4 linked regions of the Arabidopsis thaliana genome follow. The protein of the gene in region 1 purifies or fractionates together with the protein of each later gene. This does not show direct contact. Each region holds a gene or a part of one and is shown in the gene's direction. Other genes may lie near its edges.

Region 1 (4,649 bases):
AGCATCATACATTTTCTTTATTTTATAATATATATTTTCGACATAGCATGTAGATTTTCTATTTATCTTTTTTAAAATTTACACCAATCATTGATAGTATATGTATTGTAAAATAAAAATAAAAATAAAAATATCTACAACGCATGGTCATATTCAAACTTAATTCTAATATTTACCCAAATGATTTTCTTTTCTAGCGGTTGAATTAACTTAGAAAAAGAACAATCTTCACTTAGAGATCCCAGTGACGATTTGGACGCTTAATTATTAGGGTTATCGACTCTTATTAAGGTTCTTCTAAAGAAAGAAAATGTAATACTTTGAAGATGAAGCAAGACAAACCGAAGAAGACAGCAGATATATATATATATATATATATACCGACCAAGATTCGTGTACGTAAAAGCACAACTGAGATATGAATTTGTTGGCATGCAAATAAATTACAGATGTTTGATGCTAAGACCAAATGAAATTAAAAAGGGATTTAGGGATTTTGTATCTGTGAGAGGAACAGTCCATTGAATCAGTGAGATAGGATACTTTAATTATACTGTCTTCTTCTGCTCAGCATGGTTCGAATCCCCATATCAATCATCCATTGTCTCTTTCACCTTTGTTTTCATAAATGGCAAAAACTTTGGTTGCAATTTGCGACAAAGGATGACGTATTCGGCGCCATTTAAAGTTGGAGTTTTAAAAGTAAAAACTATTACTATATCATGTGAAAATATAATTAGATTGTGAAGTATAATTTTTAGAATTCTGTCGTTTACCTCTTAGCATTGTTATTTGATTAGACTAAACTAATAATTCAATTAAATAACAAATCTAATTTTTTCATAGTCGAATTTCATTAGTTAATCGTTTAGTTGTTTCTCTCGTGGATCTTCACATCATCACATGTGCCAAGAAGTTAATATTAATATATAGTCATTTTCCGAGAAGAGTCTATTTGGGTTGTTTGAGTAAAGCGTGGATATCTTTTTCCAAAGACCTTTTGAGAACTTATCAACCACAATCCCTTATATATGGTTGAAGCTGTGATCACTTGTATTACAATTATATTAACAACTCAATCGGCATTAACACAATTGCTTTCGATTGGATCTATCAGAAATCGGCATTAACACAATTACATTATATATCACGCTAGGTCTGATCAGCTCCATGTCAATCTCGTTGTTTGTGTGCTCTCGGTTTAGTTATGTGACTAAGAAGATGAACCGACTTGGATAATTGATTGCCTGGTTGCAATATTTTCGAAAGTGATAGGATATCAACTGTTTCTTTTCAATCCATAACTTACATACTTAATGATATAACCACATATATATAGAATCGTGTGGCTGTCCCGAAACACGTGACCATACCATATCGTATTCGAATGCACCTACTTATCAACTATTTGAACTGATGTGGATTTAAGAATTGGTCATATATTATCCTCCATGCTTCATAGGGTAATATCCAGAGCGATGTTGCAACAGATCCTTACTTGATGCGTGGCCAATTGATGTTGCTTGTGTGAGTTGCCATAGATCCTAAAGCCAAGGAATACATTTTGGAATCCATAGAAGACATGAACAACATTAAGCAAAGCCTTCTGTAGATTTTTAATTCTTTTTCGTTGTTGAGGATAGTGATATGTACATTAATTAATTTGGTTCCGTATAATTTTTTAATTAATTAGCGTAACACTCCACCCGAAAAGGTCCAAAACCTTAAACAACACACGAAGCTCGTAGACAAGCTGACCAAAACCTTATTAGTTTTGTTTGCAAACCCCAAAAGAAAAAACATCTTTGGTGTAACAAAAATGGCTTCGTCTTCCAAAGCACTGATCGAATCCATAGGCTCTCTTGACAAAGACTCATACGTTTCTCTCTTATCAAAACTCATAGGCGAATCTAAATTCGTCCAGAACAATCCGCCGGAGCTCATCCCTCAAGAGGACCTAATCGTCAAACACGTCCTTGACTCTCTCCGTCCTTATAGCACAGAAACTGGTGGTGGTCCTCTGGTGATCAATCATGTCGCGTATCATTCAGGTAGAGGTAATCTCATCGTTGAGTACCCAGGATCTGTTCCCGGAAAGATCTTGTCTTTCGTCGGAATGCATATGGACGTCGTCACTGCGAATCCTGATGATTGGGTAATTTTGATTGATTCTAAATATGTGATTTTGATCGGTGCCCATTAGAATTAGCTTAAAATCTGATACTGGGTTCTGTTTAATTTCCGATGAACTGATCTGAATTGTTCCAAATTTCAAAGCTTTCTCTGTTTTGTGTACTCTAGGGTTTAATCGGTTACATTGAATTTTGGATTCTCTGGTTGACTTCGGTTTTTGTTCATAGGAATTTGATCCTTTCTCGCTAAGCATAGATGGTGATAAGCTTCGTGGTCGTGGGACAACAGATTGTCTTGGTCACGTTGCTCTTGTCACTGAACTCATGAAGAAACTCGGGCAAGCCAAACCGGCGTTGAAATCAACGGTGGTGGCGGTTTTCATCGCTAGCGAAGAGAACTCTTCCATTCCTGGTGTTGGTGTGGACATGCTGGTGAAAGACAAACTTCTTGATAAGCTCAAATCCGGACCCTTGTTAGTTTCCATTCTGTTAGAAATTTCTTGGGGAGTTTTTAGATGAAAATTGAAGGATGATTGAAGCTTATTGATGTGTATTCTTTTGAAGGTATTGGATTGATACAGCGGATAAGCAGCCGTGTGTTGGAACTGGGGGTATGATACCATGGAAGCTTCAGTTTACTGGAAAGCTTTTCCATAGCGGTTTAGCTCACAAGGTATTTTATATATGAATGGATTACTCTAGATGAAGTTGCAAACTTGGCATTGATCTTTTCTTCTGTTTGTACGAAGGCGATTAACGCGATGGAGTTAGCAATGGAAGGGCTTAAGGAAATCCAAGCTCGGTTCTACAGAGACTTTCCGCCTCACCCACAAGAGGAAGTTTATGGTTTTGCAACACCATCCACCATGAAGCCAACACAGTGGTGTTGTAAGTTTTGGAATCTATAGCATGTTGTGTGCCTAATGACTTTACATGTTGTCTACTTACAATAAATTGTTTGGTTTTGCAGATCCAGCAGGTGGAATCAACCAAATCCCCGGAGAATGTACTGTTTCGGGTGATGTCAGGTTGACTCCTTTCTATGAGTAAGTCTCTTCACACTTGTCTTACTCGTTTCTTCAATGCATTTAGACACACTTTAATGGCTTTTTGGTTGTTTTTGCAGCGTGAAGGAAGTGATAACGAAGTTGCAAGAGTATGTTGACGACATAAACGGTAACATAGAGAGGCTCGAAACCCGTGGTCCTGTTTCAAAATATGTCTTACCAGATGAGAATTTACGGGGAAGGTTTGGACTTTCTTCTTCTCCTGATTCTATTCTTTCTCTCATTTTATTGTCCCTACCGAAATCTTAAAAAGTCTTAATTGTCACTTGCAGGCTCACGTTAAGTTTTGATGAAGCATCAGCTGGAGTTGCGTGTAATCTTGATTCTCCCGGCTTTCACGTTCTATGCAAAGCAACCGAAGAAGTTGTTGGACACGTGAAGCCTTACTCGATCACCGGTACTTTACCTCTAATCCGAGACCTCCAGGTAAACCATTTGATAAACCGTACTTTAACTAGACTCAAGACTGATCTTTCAGAGTTCTCTACAACTTACTCTTTCTAAACCAATGAATCATGCTCTTGGTTTGTAGGATGAAGGTTTTGATGTGCAAACTTCAGGATACGGTATTACAAAACCCAACTCGGATTCTCTCCTTTGCTGAATTTCCTCATCTTTGATCCTTATCTATTTTAATTTTGTTGCAGGTCTCATGGCTACATATCATGCAAAGAACGAATACTGCCTTCTTACAGACATGTGCCAAGGCTTTGATGTCTTCATCAGGATCATTTCTCAACTTGAACAAGTATAAAATCAGATGGAAGATCATAAAATAAAAGCTTCACATAGCTACTCTCTTATTAACTAAATGGTTCTATACATTTACTTTGCTTCTATCTATTTGTACAAGTCAATGGTGGCTCAATACTTCAGACACTTTACAAAATTTAAAACAAAGGATAATGTTTTATACAGTTATTTATCTATCTTGAGTTGTTGTCACCTTCAGTTTCAAGTTTCTGAACACGTAGCCGGAGTCTTTGCTGATGATGGTGTAGTTTCCAGAGACCATTACCCAATACAACGGCTGAGTATATACCATGTGTGATGATAGGAGCAAGAAGATTGTTTGTCTGCAATATTTTCAGTTTGGTATCAACGATTTTACTACGACATGTCGAAAAAAGAAATGCGTGAACAGAAGAAGTAAAAACCTGAATCCATTCAAAGCCGAGGTATAGACCCAAAAGCCCTTCAAGAAGAGGAGAGTAGATTTTCTTCATCTGTCTTCGCTCATACCACGCTGCAAAAAGGAACATAGAATCCTTAGTGTGTGATAGTGAACATATCTAAATCCTTATGCTAAACTGAGTTTTACGAACCTGCAAACAACTTCTTCAGCTCGTCTCGGGCAGAGCGAGTTTTCAAGACCGGTGCCATTATATAAGTTGGATCTAAGAGAAATAACAAAACAAAATCAGCTATGAGGTTAAAGGTTTTGTAACAT
Region 2 (5,185 bases), on another chromosome or scaffold:
ATTTATTTTTTCAATTTGTTTTCATGTTTTAATTTATGGTATGTTTACAAATTTTAACAAAGCATATGTTAATCCCCAAAAGTTACAGCTGTATCTGGTATTGTGTTTAAAGATAAGTAAAAATGAACTCGGAACATGATATTTAATGTAATATAACGAGAATAGGAATGACGAAAAAGGAACGACATAGAAGGAGCCAACACGGGATAAAAACATAGCTTTTAGATTACAACAAGTTACAATTTAAGCAAATTAACGTTTGCAATCAAATATGTAACATGTGTTTTCAATTTATACAGCATAAAAATGCTCAAAATAATAAATGTTATTATAGTATGCTTTATAATAGTTAAAATTTAAAAATAAACAAATGTAATTTAATATTTATGAACAAAATATTAAACAATAAGAAGAAAGAAGTCAATTAATTTTGTAATATTTTTATTATATCATATCATATAAAAATATACATGAATTATATTTGTGTTTGTCCCAAACAGGATATAGAGAATTTTTGCTTCCATCACGTTCTGTTTCTAATCGGAATACAAATTTTTTCTCATATTAGAAATGCATTCTCTTATGAGAAATAAATTGGAGAACGAGTAAGATATAATGGAACATGATAAAATTGAATGAGAATTACGCCTATCTCTAAATATTTATATTTCTCGCAAACGTATTTAATCATTTTAATGGTTTTATATACGGTTTGATAGTTTACAAGTTTAATAAAAATCTACCTGACCATTAACTCGAATCAGTTTGATCTCGGTTCGACCGTTTGATTGTTATGAACTTTAAAATACTACTAAAATCATTATTATTTCAAATATTTCAACCAACTAATATAGTTTAGGTTATATATATACTATAACTATATAAATAATTTTTAACATCAATCTAACTTATATTATATTTTAATTTAAGATTTTTTTTTCTAATTTACTCTTCAGTTTCAAACTCCAAAAATGGACTTATGGTTGCTCTTATGTCATAAACAAACATAAATAATATTTTATATTTTTATGTGTACATTATAATTATTCAATACAGTATATATCACTAAAATAACAAAATAATTATATATTTAATAAAAATTTATTACAACACATTTCTTAATATATGAAGATGTACTATTATTTGCAAATACAAAATATGTTAAATAGTGTTTTAGTTAATTAGAAAATAACAAAAATTAAAGTAATTTTTCTCAAAATAATAATTATTTAAAGATTAATTGCTTAATTATTTGAATTTTATAAGAATTTCCTTTTAATGTGTATTATATATATGTATGAATAAGACTAATTGAAAAATCTGTAATAATCTAGTAAAATTTGGACAATTATTTAAATGGATTAGAATCACAACATGACGGTTTCGTTAATAACACGCCAATATAAATATTTTATTAAAAAAACTTCTCAATTAATATATAGAATATACATATATTTATTATTTACAAATATTTTTATATATTGAAGCTAGAAAATAAAAAAATTATGAAATTGTTTGGTGCACCAATAAAGAAAATATTTAGTTTTTTTTTTTTTCTAAACTAAAACATTTCTTATTATCTATCTAAATACGATTCAACAAATAGTAAAAATAATATGCATAATATAAATCATCAAACCTAATAAAAAGTAATAAATCTTCTATAAAATCTCCTATTTTCTAAAAAACTCTCTACAAAAGAAGTATTAATTTTTTTTTTCGAAGGATTTTATTAGTTATAAAATAAATTTAACAGAAAGAGGCACAAATACCAATAGGAGTTGGAAAACTAAAACAACGAGTGGTGTTGCTCTCTCCATCTTCCTCTTCATCTTCTTCTGTTCTCTCTCTATAAATACAAGTTTACTCTTCCTCTTCCTCAAATCTCTGACTCTTCTCTGCATTATCTCTTCGATCTCTCCAACTCTCCAAAACCTTCCTCAGGTAAAAGATCCAATCTTCCTTACAATTCCACTAATCTAGGGTTTTAAAATCCCAGATTCCTGAATCAAAACTTCTCTGAGATCCGAATTTCGCAATTCTGTGTTTTTGGCTAATTTACGCCTCGCAATTTTGTGTTTTTCGCTAACTTACGCCGAATCCAATGCATCCTCTGTCAAAACTCTCTAAATCCCAAATCTTTTTACAGAAATTTATCACAAATTAGGATTCCACAGTGATTTCTAGCTTTCGCATGAGAGATCTTATTGTGTTTAACATATTTCTTTGCAATTTTGTGTGTTTTTGGCTAACTTAAGCGTCGCAATTTTGTGTGTTTTCACTAACTTACACCGAATCCAATGCATTCTCTGTCAAAACTCTCTAAATCCCAAATCTTTTTACAGAAATTAATCACAAATTAGGATTCTACAGTGATTTCTAGCTTTTGCATGAGAGATCTTATTGTGTTTAACAGATTTGTTTTGCAATTTTGTGTGTTTTTGGCTAACTTACGCCTCGCAGTTTTGTGTTTTTCGCTAACTTACGCCGGAATCCAATGCATCAATAATCTTACCTCTGTCAAAACTCTCTAAATCCCAAATCTTTTTTATAGAAATTTATCACAAATTAGGACTCTACAGTGATGTCTAGCTTTTGCATGAGAGATCTTATTGTTTTTAACAGATTTGTTTTGTTAATGTAGAATGGGAACTACCAATGGAACAGACTATGGAGCATACACATACAAGGAGCTAGAAAGAGAGCAATATTGGCCATCTGAGAATCTCAAGATATCAATAACAGGAGCTGGAGGTTTCATTGCATCTCACATTGCTCGTCGTTTGAAGCACGAAGGTCATTACGTGATTGCTTCTGACTGGAAAAAGAATGAACACATGACTGAAGACATGTTCTGTGATGAGTTCCATCTTGTTGATCTTAGGGTTATGGAGAATTGTCTCAAAGTTACTGAAGGAGTTGATCATGTTTTTAACTTAGCTGCTGATATGGGTGGTATGGGTTTTATCCAGAGTAATCACTCTGTGATTATGTATAATAATACTATGATTAGTTTCAATATGATTGAGGCTGCTAGGATCAATGGGATTAAGAGGTTAGTTAGATTTTGTTTTCTTCGGTTTTCGCAGTTTACGGTTTCTTAAAACAAGTTAAAAAGATTGGATTTTTTGTTTGCTTTAGGTTCTTTTATGCTTCGAGTGCTTGTATCTATCCAGAGTTTAAGCAGTTGGAGACTACTAATGTGAGCTTGAAGGAGTCAGATGCTTGGCCTGCAGAGGTTTGTGATTATTTTTTATATGTTCTTGCTAAAGATTTATGAGTCTTTTCTTATGTGATGTTTTGATGCTGATATAGCCTCAAGATGCTTATGGTTTGGAGAAGCTTGCTACGGAGGAGTTGTGTAAGCATTACAACAAAGATTTTGGTATTGAGTGTCGAATTGGAAGGTTCCATAACATTTATGGTCCTTTTGGAACATGGAAAGGTAGTATACAGATAAACAGTTTCCGTACTTTGTGTGAATGATTAGTTGTTTACTATTGGGATTAATATTTGCTTGGATCAACTTAGGTGGAAGGGAGAAGGCTCCAGCTGCTTTCTGTAGGAAGGCTCAGACTTCCACTGATAGGTTTGAGATGTGGGGAGATGGGCTTCAGACCCGTTCTTTTACCTTTATCGATGAGTGTGTTGAAGGTGTACTCAGGTGAGGGTATCTCCTGATGTTGATGAAGTTGTATGTTAGACGTAATTGGCTGATATTTTCGTCATTTTTGTTTTATAGGTTGACAAAATCAGATTTCCGTGAGCCGGTGAACATCGGAAGCGATGAGATGGTGAGCATGAATGAGATGGCTGAGATGGTTCTCAGCTTTGAGGAAAAGAAGCTTCCAATTCACCACATTCCTGGCCCGGAAGGTGTTCGTGGTCGTAACTCAGACAACAATCTGATCAAAGAAAAGCTTGGTTGGGCTCCTAATATGAGATTGAAGGTACCAACATTATTTACTTAAGTAGCTCAAAGACAAGATAATAATCTAATTCTTTTATTACTGATATTGTTTTGACCATAATCGTTAAACAGGAGGGGCTTAGAATAACCTACTTCTGGATAAAGGAACAGATCGAGAAAGAGAAAGCAAAGGGAAGCGATGTGTCGCTTTACGGGTCATCAAAGGTGGTTGGAACTCAAGCACCGGTTCAGCTAGGCTCACTCCGCGCGGCTGATGGAAAAGAGTGAAGTTCACCAAAGTATAAGTCAAGCTCAAATATGGCCTTTTAAGTTCAGCAAAATGTTTAGATATATTTTTAGGTAGCTTCCTATTAAAAAAGCAATAATAAGTGTTTTGGATTTTGGTTCCTTCTATTCTGCTAATCCTTGTTTATGTTTAGTTGAAAAAGTTTGCTTGCATTGTTAAGTCTGTTATCATATTATTGTGGTCCTTTCATTCACAGTATGTATGTTTATCATCATAGTCAAGTTGATGTCGTGGTCCTCTCACGGACCAGTACAAGTAAGTGGCTTGTGTTTTTTCTTGCATCTTATCATCTATTCACACATCTCTAGAGGTTAGGGATCACTCACGGTGACTCACCATTCTTTCTCTTCCATCCACTTCTTTATCCCATTCCTCGGTCAAAAATGTCACACGTAATAAATCATAAGGTTTTAAGTTTATATATTGCTTTTTTTATGCAACTCTCCCGATCAGCAAAATATCTAAAATTTGAGATTTTTATCCATGTTCTAAGATTTGGTCTTAGACTCGAGATGATCCGAAAAATAACGTATTTACTATTTTAAATTTTGAATATACATTTTATCAAAAAACAAATATGAGATAAGGACGATATTATTATAACATAACATATAATGTTTTTTTATTATTTTAAATAATATCAAAGGAAATAAAGCTTAAACTTAATCCAAAACTAAGAAAAAAACCACTAAATCAAAAGGAAAAGCATAGTAAAATCTCAAAACAATTAAGCAACTTTCGGCTCAATTGTTAGCTTCTTTGAATATATATGTTATCAGTGTTTTTTCAAAAATCTTTGACGTTAGCATCATACTACAAATATTCATTTATGCATCTAAAATAAGACAATCGATATATTTCAAATCATCAACTCAACAATCACCCAATTTTTTGTTGTGGTTTTGCTCTTGCTCTCACTCTTCTTCGTGTCGCTTCTCAAATGAGCCCAAATCACCTTTTATATCATA
Region 3 (3,266 bases), on another chromosome or scaffold:
TCAATTGTCAAAAAGTCGTGTTAAATATAGATGTATTGTACAGATCTTTGACTTTGAAGTACTTCATTTGCTGATCACAGCCTCATCTTTATCTGTTTTTTTTACACTGTAATTATAGATTGGATGCCGATTGGTGCCTTTGTGCTTGATTCTCGAACTTCACTCCTGACTGAGAGTTTGAGTGGTCGCCTGAAAGTCCCAAAGGAAGGAACCATAGAACGGATGTTACAAAAATGTCTTATTCATGATCTTCAGAAACTTTGTCAACTGCAGGAAAAACTGTAACATATGGCTTATCTCATTTTCCAGATTTACAGCTTGTGCGACCTGTTTGTGACCTCAGTACCTGTGAGGTAAAAGACACTAATCAACTCTAATCTGTTGCTGAAACTTTTGTATTGATCTCTTGCAATAACTAAATTGCAACTAAGAGTGTTTCTGTTTTACTATGTAGGAACAATGCAAACTCTTGATGCTAGGCACATTGAACTCTTCCTTAGTGAAGGCTACAAAGATGGAAGCTGGGACTACAATCTGATTGGATCTCATAAGTTGCAGAAAAACGCAAGTGCAGCTTGTGGAGCCATATTTGACCTCAAACACCATAAAGAATCTTCATCCTCAGGTAACTTCAAATCTTCATTACTGTTATGTTCCTTTACTTCTCCTCTTTGAATCATTCTCCTTTGTCTCATACAAATTTCACATGAAACCTCTATAATAGGTATTCTCAACCTCAAGTCTTGGACCGGACAGCCAGATATTTCCCAACCTAAAGCAGTTATCGCACCCCATGCAGTTGCTGTTCACACAAGATTGCGAGAAAACGAAGGTATATAACTTTGCATCATCAACCATCTTTATCTAGAAAACACAATTACAAATAATTCTCTTGCCAAAAGGAATTGAATCCAAATTTGTTGTTTCAGTTGCGGAAATCCAATCAGTATTGTGGCATTTGCAAGAGAGTATGGCAGCCCTTCAAATGATGGAGATTGGGTGAGAATATATGTGACCATGTTTGGTGAAATACAGACCTGTAAGAAATGATTACATCTATTTAGCTGACTTGATTTGATGTATTAGGTTTATTGTGATGAGTGTGATGTATGGCCGTATGGGTGCGACAATAATTTATATAAGCGCTTTAAGGTACACCTTCATGCATCTTAACTTTTGATTCTAAGTAATGAACACGCTTGTTGAACTATCACACTAATTTGGTTATCATCTTAAGGAACTGGAGCACAACAGTTACTATTGCCCTAACTGTAAAGTCCAGCATGAGCTTATCAATATTAGAAGAACAGAACTCAGTGTTCAAGTATATTGTTAACTTCTCATGTTCTCCTGATTTTATTGTTTGCATTTCTCCATTGCTATAATATGCGAGATTTCCTCACAACCTCTTTGGGATTGGTCTACAGAAAAGGCGACACAGACTGAGCTGCCTGATGAGATTAATGTAGTCTGTAATGGCATGGAAGGAACATATATCAGAGCATTTCATGCGTACGTATTAGATGTCTCAGCCTTATTTCAATTTCTTCATTTAGAAAGGATCTTATTTGTTTATGAATTATGACTATGCAGCACAATATCGTAAATTGATTTTTTCTCTGAAAACGATAAAAAATCCGTGTTTAATCCTAGGTTTCTGTTATCATTGTCTTGTTGTTTTAGAGATTTGACCAACACATTAATCTTTGAACTATTGTTTCAGAATTGAGTGCAAGTGTGGTTCATGTGGGTCAAGGAAGCAGTCACCAAGTGAATGGGAACGGCATACAGGCTGTAGATACTAGATAGCGTAAGAGTGAAAGACACAATGCTACCTCTAGAAAAATGGCTTTGCATGAAGACTTTGATACTATATGTATCTGTATATGTAGAAGAGTATCAGTTTTATCTAAATGACTAGTCTCCAAATTTGTGGTTTATTGATTTCGTCAGAATGGTAGGCTCTTTAACTGATTTAAGGTGAAAACTACATTGGTCTTTGTTCAGTGTTAGATTTGTCTTTTGTGGGTTTGGAATGGATTAAAGAGGAGTCTTTTACTGGATTTTGTTGAATGCTAGATTTGGGTTTAGTAAACAATGAATCCTTTACTGGTTTTGAAGGATGTTATATTTGAAACTGATTAGAGCTAAACCCTCTATTGCTTAGTGGTTCTTAATTTAAGGGTTTTGCCGCAGCTTCCCTAATTTAAGCTTGTTTTCTAATACAAAGTACAAAAGCAGTGTGTTCGTCAACTATCTTCTTACTCTGTTTTCGTTTAGAGAGTTTTTGCAGAGATGAGGAGAACTATAACAATGGTGATAAAGATGTCAATACTTATGATATTGATTTCATCAATGGTGATGAATATGGTCGAGGTTGAGGTTGACCAGATTGAATCATGGGTCAAGGACTTCCAGGTTTCATTCTCTTTTTCACACATTCACACAAGCTTTATGTAAAAGAAGTATATATGAAATCAATATAACCTAACCAAAGAAAATGTTTTCTCTAGGATGGAAAAGCTGCTGTCCACAAAAATTCTCAACCTATTCCAGCTGAGAACAACGAACCAGTGAAGCTTGTTGTCGCCGAGAGCCTTGACGACATAGTTCAGGTCAGCGAGCGGAAACGTTGTAGTATACGAAGGAGACAGGACAAAGGAAGACTTCATAGTTCAGGGTTGGTGATACTAGCAGAAGATGATGAGGAAGAACACGAAAAGATGGATTAGTTAAAGCTTCCAAAAACTGAATCAAAACAATCATTATTACATTAGTTTGTGGTTGTGGATTAGCAATGTTTAAGTAGTTTGATCTATCAATCTCCTGAATTTCTAGATTGCAGATATTTTATCTCATTTTGCTGTCTCACTTGATTCGTGGGTTATATTGCTTAATTTGATTTAAACTCTGTTTTGTGTGGTTACATAGGACTCTGTTTCGCCTGTGTATAGGAAGAGAGTAATGACGTTGAGTGTACAGAGTTGGAGAAGGGTTTCGAGAAAAAATTGTAATTCTTGAATTCGTCTCAGCTTGAGAATAGTGAGTCCATGGACTTTTACCGGATATGAGTTGTACAATGCAGAGACTGATCCCGAACTGAAAGCTGTTATGAGAGGACATGGGAAAAGCCATTGGCTTCGTTTGACCGGAAAGAATTTATGAGTAGTAAGTAGCATATCTAAAGTAAACGCCATGCAAACAAAGAAAACAATGATGAAGATATAAGAGCATCCACATTGGTGGGCTTTTAGCAAATGTTCTTA
Region 4 (5,108 bases), on another chromosome or scaffold:
TCTCAATCCTTTTTTGAAAAGACCAAAAAAAAAAAGCAACGAGAAATTAGCATCTTTTTTTCATCATATGTGTATGTATATCAATGATCGAACGGTCGTCAGCTCACTGTGAGGCAACACATGAATCCAATTAGTTCTCAAAATTTATCCATTATCCACAATTCCACATAATGGTTAGCGATATTCATATAAACTCTCTTCATAATGATTTTTTTGTTGAAAAAACTTCTGATACTACGACATGCAAATTAGAAGCAGTATTAAGAAACTTACTTTTTTTTTTGACACACTATTTAAGAAACTACTTAAGAGTTAAGAGTTAAGACTGAAGCTTAATTAAAATAACGTCAATAAAATCATATTTTGTTTAAATTATTTCCCTTTTTGGGCAAATAATTAAATTATTTCCTAACCAGTTTAAGTTTCGTAATGCAAAATGGAATCTCTAATGTTGCTGGGTCAAGTTTTCTTCTACGTAGAAAAGACTTTTTGTATTGATTCCCCAAAGCCATTCTTCTCAATGTAAATTTGATTTTATCAGAAATAATAACCCAAAAAAAATACTCCAAATGTCTTTTCAATATAAAAATTAATAATTTGACTTGATATCAATCGGAAATTACAAGAGAGTATGGGAAGTCGTGGTACCGGAGAGAGTGCGGCTCTTCCTATGGCTTGGAATGCAGCAAGTTCTGATGACGAATGCTGAGAGGAGGAGGAGGCATCTAAGTGATTCGGACATTTGCCAAATCTGTAAAGGAGCTGAAAAAACAATCATACATATTCTTCGTGATTGTCCTGCTATGGAAGGCATTTGGATCCGCTTAGTTCCTGCGGGTAAGCGCCGAGAGTTCTTTACACAATCGTTATTGGAGTGGTTGTTTGCTAATCTGGGTGATAGGCGGAAGACTTGTGAGAGTACTTGGTCAACTTTATTTGCTTTGTCTATTTGGTGGGCCTGGAAATGGCGGTGTGGCAACATTTTTGGTGTTCAAGACAAATGTCGAGATCGGGTGCGTTTCTTAAAGGATCTGGCTAGGGAGACGTCCATGGCTCATGTGATAGTCAGGACACTGAGTGGGGGTCATGGAGAACGGGTGGAAAGACTGATCGCGTGGTCGAAACCCGAGGAAGGTTGGTGGAAACTTAATACGGATGGGGCTTCCAGAGGTAATCCGGGTTTAGCGTCTGCTGGTGGTGTGCTACGAGATGAGGAAGGAGCTTGGAGAGGAGGTTTTGCTCTGAACATTGGAGTTTGTTCAGCACCTTTGGCAGAGCTATGGGGAGTGTACTATGGCCTCTACATTGCTTGGGAGCGACGAGTCACACGGTTAGAGATTGAGGTGGACTCAGAGATTGTTGTGGGTTTTTTGAAGATAGGGATAAACGAGGTACATCCGCTGTCTTTCCTGGTACGATTGTGCCATGACTTCATATCAAGGGACTGGAGAGTCCGTATTTCACACGTTTATAGGGAAGCTAACCGTCTTGCTGACGGGTTAGCCAACTATGCATTTTCGTTACCATTAGGTTTTCATTCTCTTAGTTTGGTTCCGGATTCTTTACGTTTTATTTTGTTGGATGACACTAGTGGAGCTACGGTTTCACGTCAAGTGCGAATGTAATTTTCTTTTTCATTAATAAATCTTGGGAGACTTTGTCTCCCTTGGCTTACCCAAAAAAAAAAATCGAAAGTTACAAAGAACGATTTATCTAGTTAAAAAGAAGTTTTTTCTTAACTCTTAAACACAATTATTAGACTACTAAACATTCATAATTAATAATCATACAAAATGATTAGTCGAACAAATAAAATATCGCATCCTTTCCAATTTAAACGAGATCACGTGGAAGCGAGTACACACCACGCGCCGATACAGAGAGTGAGATTTCAAAATTCGACGAACCAATTTGCCTCCGTTCACATGCGATGCATCTTCTCTCTTAAATATCCACCGTCACCACTCTCTCTTCCTCTTTAGATTCTCTCTCTACAGAGAACTTGATTATTTTTTCTGATCTGAGAAAAAAAATGGCGAATGGAGCTAATAGAGTGGATCTCGACGGGAAACCGATACAACCGTTGACAATATGCATGATCGGCGCCGGAGGTTTCATCGGTTCACATCTCTGTGAAAAGCTCTTGACCGAGACGCCACATAAGGTGCTTGCGCTCGATGTTTACAACGATAAGATCAAACACTTGCTTGAGCCTGATACCGTTGAATGGAGTGGTCGGATCCAGTTTCATCGTATCAATATTAAGCATGATTCGAGACTTGAAGGTCTTGTTAAGATGGCGGATCTGGTAAAAATGCTTATCGATTTCGTTTTTTGATCTCTTGTTCTTCGGTGTTTATGATAGAAGTCTCAGATCTGATTCGTTATCGGAATTCAGATGTTTCGCAATGTATTGAGATCGGTGATGTTGTGATGTAATTCTGATGTTTCTTTTTGGATTCGCAGATTATAAATCTTGCTGCGATCTGTACTCCAGCTGATTACAATACACGTCCTCTTGATACTATCTACAGCAATTTCATTGATGCGCTTCCAGTTGTATGTGTTTTCTTCTTAGCTTCGTTCATTGTTTTGCTTTAGCTCTTGTTTTTGAAGTTGATGGAGACAGTGATGATTGTGTAATGCGTTGGTTTTGTTAGGTGAAATACTGTTCTGAGAACAACAAGCGTCTCATTCACTTTTCTACCTGTGAAGTTTATGGAAAAACCATTGGAAGCTTTCTTCCTAAGGATCATCCTCTGCGTGATGTAATGCCTTTTTGTACATTTCGCTTTCCACATGTTATTGTCTTTTTATCAATCTCATCGATGAATGTACTGAGGAACATGTTGAAGCTGACGTTTTCGTTCGTTTTAATAGCCACATTATGAATTACTCATTGGATCTCGTTAAACGTATTTTTGAATTGAATTAAGACTTTAGTCCGCTAGTCTATCACACACCCATAGAAGCTTGGAATAGTTGATATTATTCGTCTAAGGTTGGGTTCACTGTTTACTGATGTTGTTTGTTGTGCCTTTCTACAGGATCCTGCTTTCTATGTTCTTAAAGAAGATATTTCCCCTTGCATATTTGGTTCAATTGAGAAGCAGAGGTGGTCATATGCGTGTGCAAAGCAACTGATTGAGAGACTTGTTTACGGTAAGCATTTCTGTTTAAGATGATGTTGGTAAAAACAAAAGGTTTACACTTAACTTCACTTGTTTCTTGTGACAGCTGAGGGTGCTGAGAATGGGCTTGAGTTCACCATCGTACGACCTTTTAACTGGATTGGACCTAGGATGGATTTCATCCCCGGCATTGATGGTCCTAGCGAAGGTGTCCCACGTGTCCTTGCCTGCTTTAGTAACGTAAGTGTTCAAATCCAAGTATATAACCCAATGCTAGTCTGTGTATATATGCAAGCTTTTAGTTAATGCATCTCTATCTATCTTTCAGAATCTTCTACGTCGTGAGCCTCTCAAGCTTGTAGATGGTGGAGAATCACAGAGAACTTTCGTCTACATCAATGATGCTATTGAAGCTGTCCTTTTGATGATTGTACGTTCCATTGCCTGATATATAGCTTTTTGTTTACAAACTGTTAATGTTAGAAGTTCGAAGTAGTTTCAACTAAAACCTATAATGACATTGTATGTTTGTGGTTCAGGAAAACCCAGAGAGGGCAAATGGGCACATCTTCAACGTAGGCAACCCGAACAACGAAGTTACAGTAAGACAGCTCGCTGAAATGATGACCGAGGTGAGGAAGATGGATCAGTTAGGAAACTATGAAAATAGTTTGATTTCTCTGTCGCTGGTTCTCAATTCTCAAAACGAATCATGTTTCAGGTTTACGCAAAAGTGAGTGGAGAAGGAGCCATTGAGAGCCCAACGGTTGATGTTAGCTCCAAAGAGTTTTACGGGGAAGGTTATGATGACAGTGACAAGAGAATCCCAGACATGACCATCATTAACCGCCAACTCGGTAATTCTTCATAATCACCAACATGATAGATAATATGCTTTAAAATCAAAATCAATTGCTATTCTGATAGAATTTTGGACTTTGAAAATAGGATGGAACCCGAAAACATCGCTATGGGACTTGCTCGAGTCGACCTTAACCTACCAGCACAGGACATACGCTGAAGCTGTGAAGAAGGCAACATCCAAACCAGTGGCTTCCTAAACTCTCCAAGACCCCAACGAAACTCGTTAAACACGCGTCATTTTGGCATTTTACTCTATTCGATTCTATTTTTTTCATCCCAGAGAAAACTTTTTTTCTTTTTTCTTTTTAAGAAAACGATATAATCACGGTGGTTCGTTCCAAGTATACCTTTTCGTTTGTAAGTTTTCTCTTTTTGTTTGGTTTGTTTGGCCATGTATGTCGGAGCTGTCAGAAAGCAAGAGGTTAATCGTTTGTAGCGAATGATAAATGTTCGAGTGTATATTTTAAAATGCTTCGTTTTACATGTGTACAAGTACAAGAACAAATGTAATTATCTTCTGTCAAGTAACACATTGTGTTTCGTTCAGAAAAAAAACAAGTGGACTACAGAGTATGAAAGAAAGTCTAGTAGTTTTGGAACGCTCGACAATTAAATTCGATTTTATTTTTAAATTGTAATATATAAATCACAAGTAGCGTCTGTAGTCCAACGGTTAGGATAATTGCCTTCCAAGCAATAGACCCGGGTTCGACTCCCGGCAGACGCATTATCATTATTTTTATATTTTGAATTGTTTTCACTGAATTTTTAATTCAATGAAGGCAAAGCAAACTAGAAGAAAATGAGTCTTTTTTTCTTTCTTTCTAACTCATGTACATAAAATACATTGTTAGAGCATATTCTAGTTCAACTATTTCTGATTTAATATACTCCATCTACTTAGTATTGCGATCAAGATTAGATCATAACATATCGACATTGTATAGTACTTATCATGAATCAGCCAGCAACTTCGAAATTTTATGAACTTGAAAAGAGCAAAAATCATATTTCATTTAAACCCATTAACACTCCAAAATGACAACATAACATATATTATAATAATCCAAAAATTTTAAGATGCCAAAAGCCTCATAAGTCACTCAACGATTC

Evidence for each region.
Region 2: the proteins of AT4G17830 (region 1) and GME fractionate together in Arabidopsis thaliana (co-fractionation; one large-scale study listed by BioGRID). This does not show direct contact.
Region 3: the proteins of AT4G17830 (region 1) and AT3G62510 fractionate together in Arabidopsis thaliana (co-fractionation; one large-scale study listed by BioGRID). This does not show direct contact.
Region 4: the proteins of AT4G17830 (region 1) and AXS1 fractionate together in Arabidopsis thaliana (co-fractionation; one large-scale study listed by BioGRID). This does not show direct contact.

The regions. Positions count from the first base shown.
Region 1 is NC_003075.7:9,914,097-9,918,745, forward strand, and holds AT4G17830 (Peptidase M20/M25/M40 family protein), read left to right. Parts: upstream 1-1,716; 5' UTR 1,717-1,819; coding exon 1,820-2,155; intron 2,156-2,360; coding exon 2,361-2,620; intron 2,621-2,696; coding exon 2,697-2,805; intron 2,806-2,881; coding exon 2,882-3,020; intron 3,021-3,102; coding exon 3,103-3,178; intron 3,179-3,258; coding exon 3,259-3,381; intron 3,382-3,471; coding exon 3,472-3,625; intron 3,626-3,731; coding exon 3,732-3,765; intron 3,766-3,846; coding exon 3,847-3,953; 3' UTR 3,954-4,091; downstream 4,092-4,649. Other genes in the region: AT4G17840 (CAAX protease self-immunity protein), read right to left, coding at 4,126-4,275, 4,357-4,445, 4,525-4,596.
Region 2 is NC_003076.8:10,861,485-10,866,669, reverse strand, and holds GME (GDP-D-mannose 3',5'-epimerase), read left to right. Parts: upstream 1-1,723; 5' UTR 1,724-1,944; intron 1,945-2,625; exon of another isoform or gene 2,626-2,644; 5' UTR 2,645-2,645; coding exon 2,646-3,055; intron 3,056-3,141; coding exon 3,142-3,238; intron 3,239-3,315; coding exon 3,316-3,445; intron 3,446-3,531; coding exon 3,532-3,664; intron 3,665-3,742; coding exon 3,743-3,950; intron 3,951-4,042; coding exon 4,043-4,198; 3' UTR 4,199-4,654; downstream 4,655-5,185. UniProt on the Arabidopsis thaliana protein: Catalyzes a reversible epimerization of GDP-D-mannose that precedes the committed step in the biosynthesis of vitamin C (L-ascorbate), resulting in the hydrolysis of the highly energetic glycosyl-pyrophosphoryl linkage.
Region 3 is NC_003074.8:23,121,043-23,124,308, forward strand, and holds AT3G62510 (disulfide isomerase-like protein), read left to right. Parts: upstream 1-1,788; 5' UTR 1,789-1,810; exon of another isoform or gene 1,811-2,146; intron 2,147-2,293; 5' UTR 2,294-2,295; coding exon 2,296-2,418; intron 2,419-2,513; coding exon 2,514-2,732; 3' UTR 2,733-2,749; downstream 2,750-3,266. Other genes in the region: AT3G62500 (F-box protein RMF), read left to right, coding at 119-235, 310-342, 455-625, 725-832, 930-999, 1,087-1,152, 1,238-1,324, 1,428-1,446.
Region 4 is NC_003071.7:11,863,768-11,868,875, reverse strand, and holds AXS1 (UDP-D-apiose/UDP-D-xylose synthase 1), read left to right. Parts: upstream 1-1,877; 5' UTR 1,878-2,032; coding exon 2,033-2,308; intron 2,309-2,466; coding exon 2,467-2,559; intron 2,560-2,660; coding exon 2,661-2,768; intron 2,769-3,047; coding exon 3,048-3,162; intron 3,163-3,237; coding exon 3,238-3,371; intron 3,372-3,459; coding exon 3,460-3,561; intron 3,562-3,670; coding exon 3,671-3,763; intron 3,764-3,852; coding exon 3,853-3,988; intron 3,989-4,079; coding exon 4,080-4,192; 3' UTR 4,193-4,599; downstream 4,600-5,108. UniProt on the Arabidopsis thaliana protein: Together with AXS2, catalyzes the conversion of UDP-D-glucuronate into a mixture of UDP-D-apiose (UDP-Api) as the main product and UDP-D-xylose to a lesser extent, via a cycle of oxidation and reduction.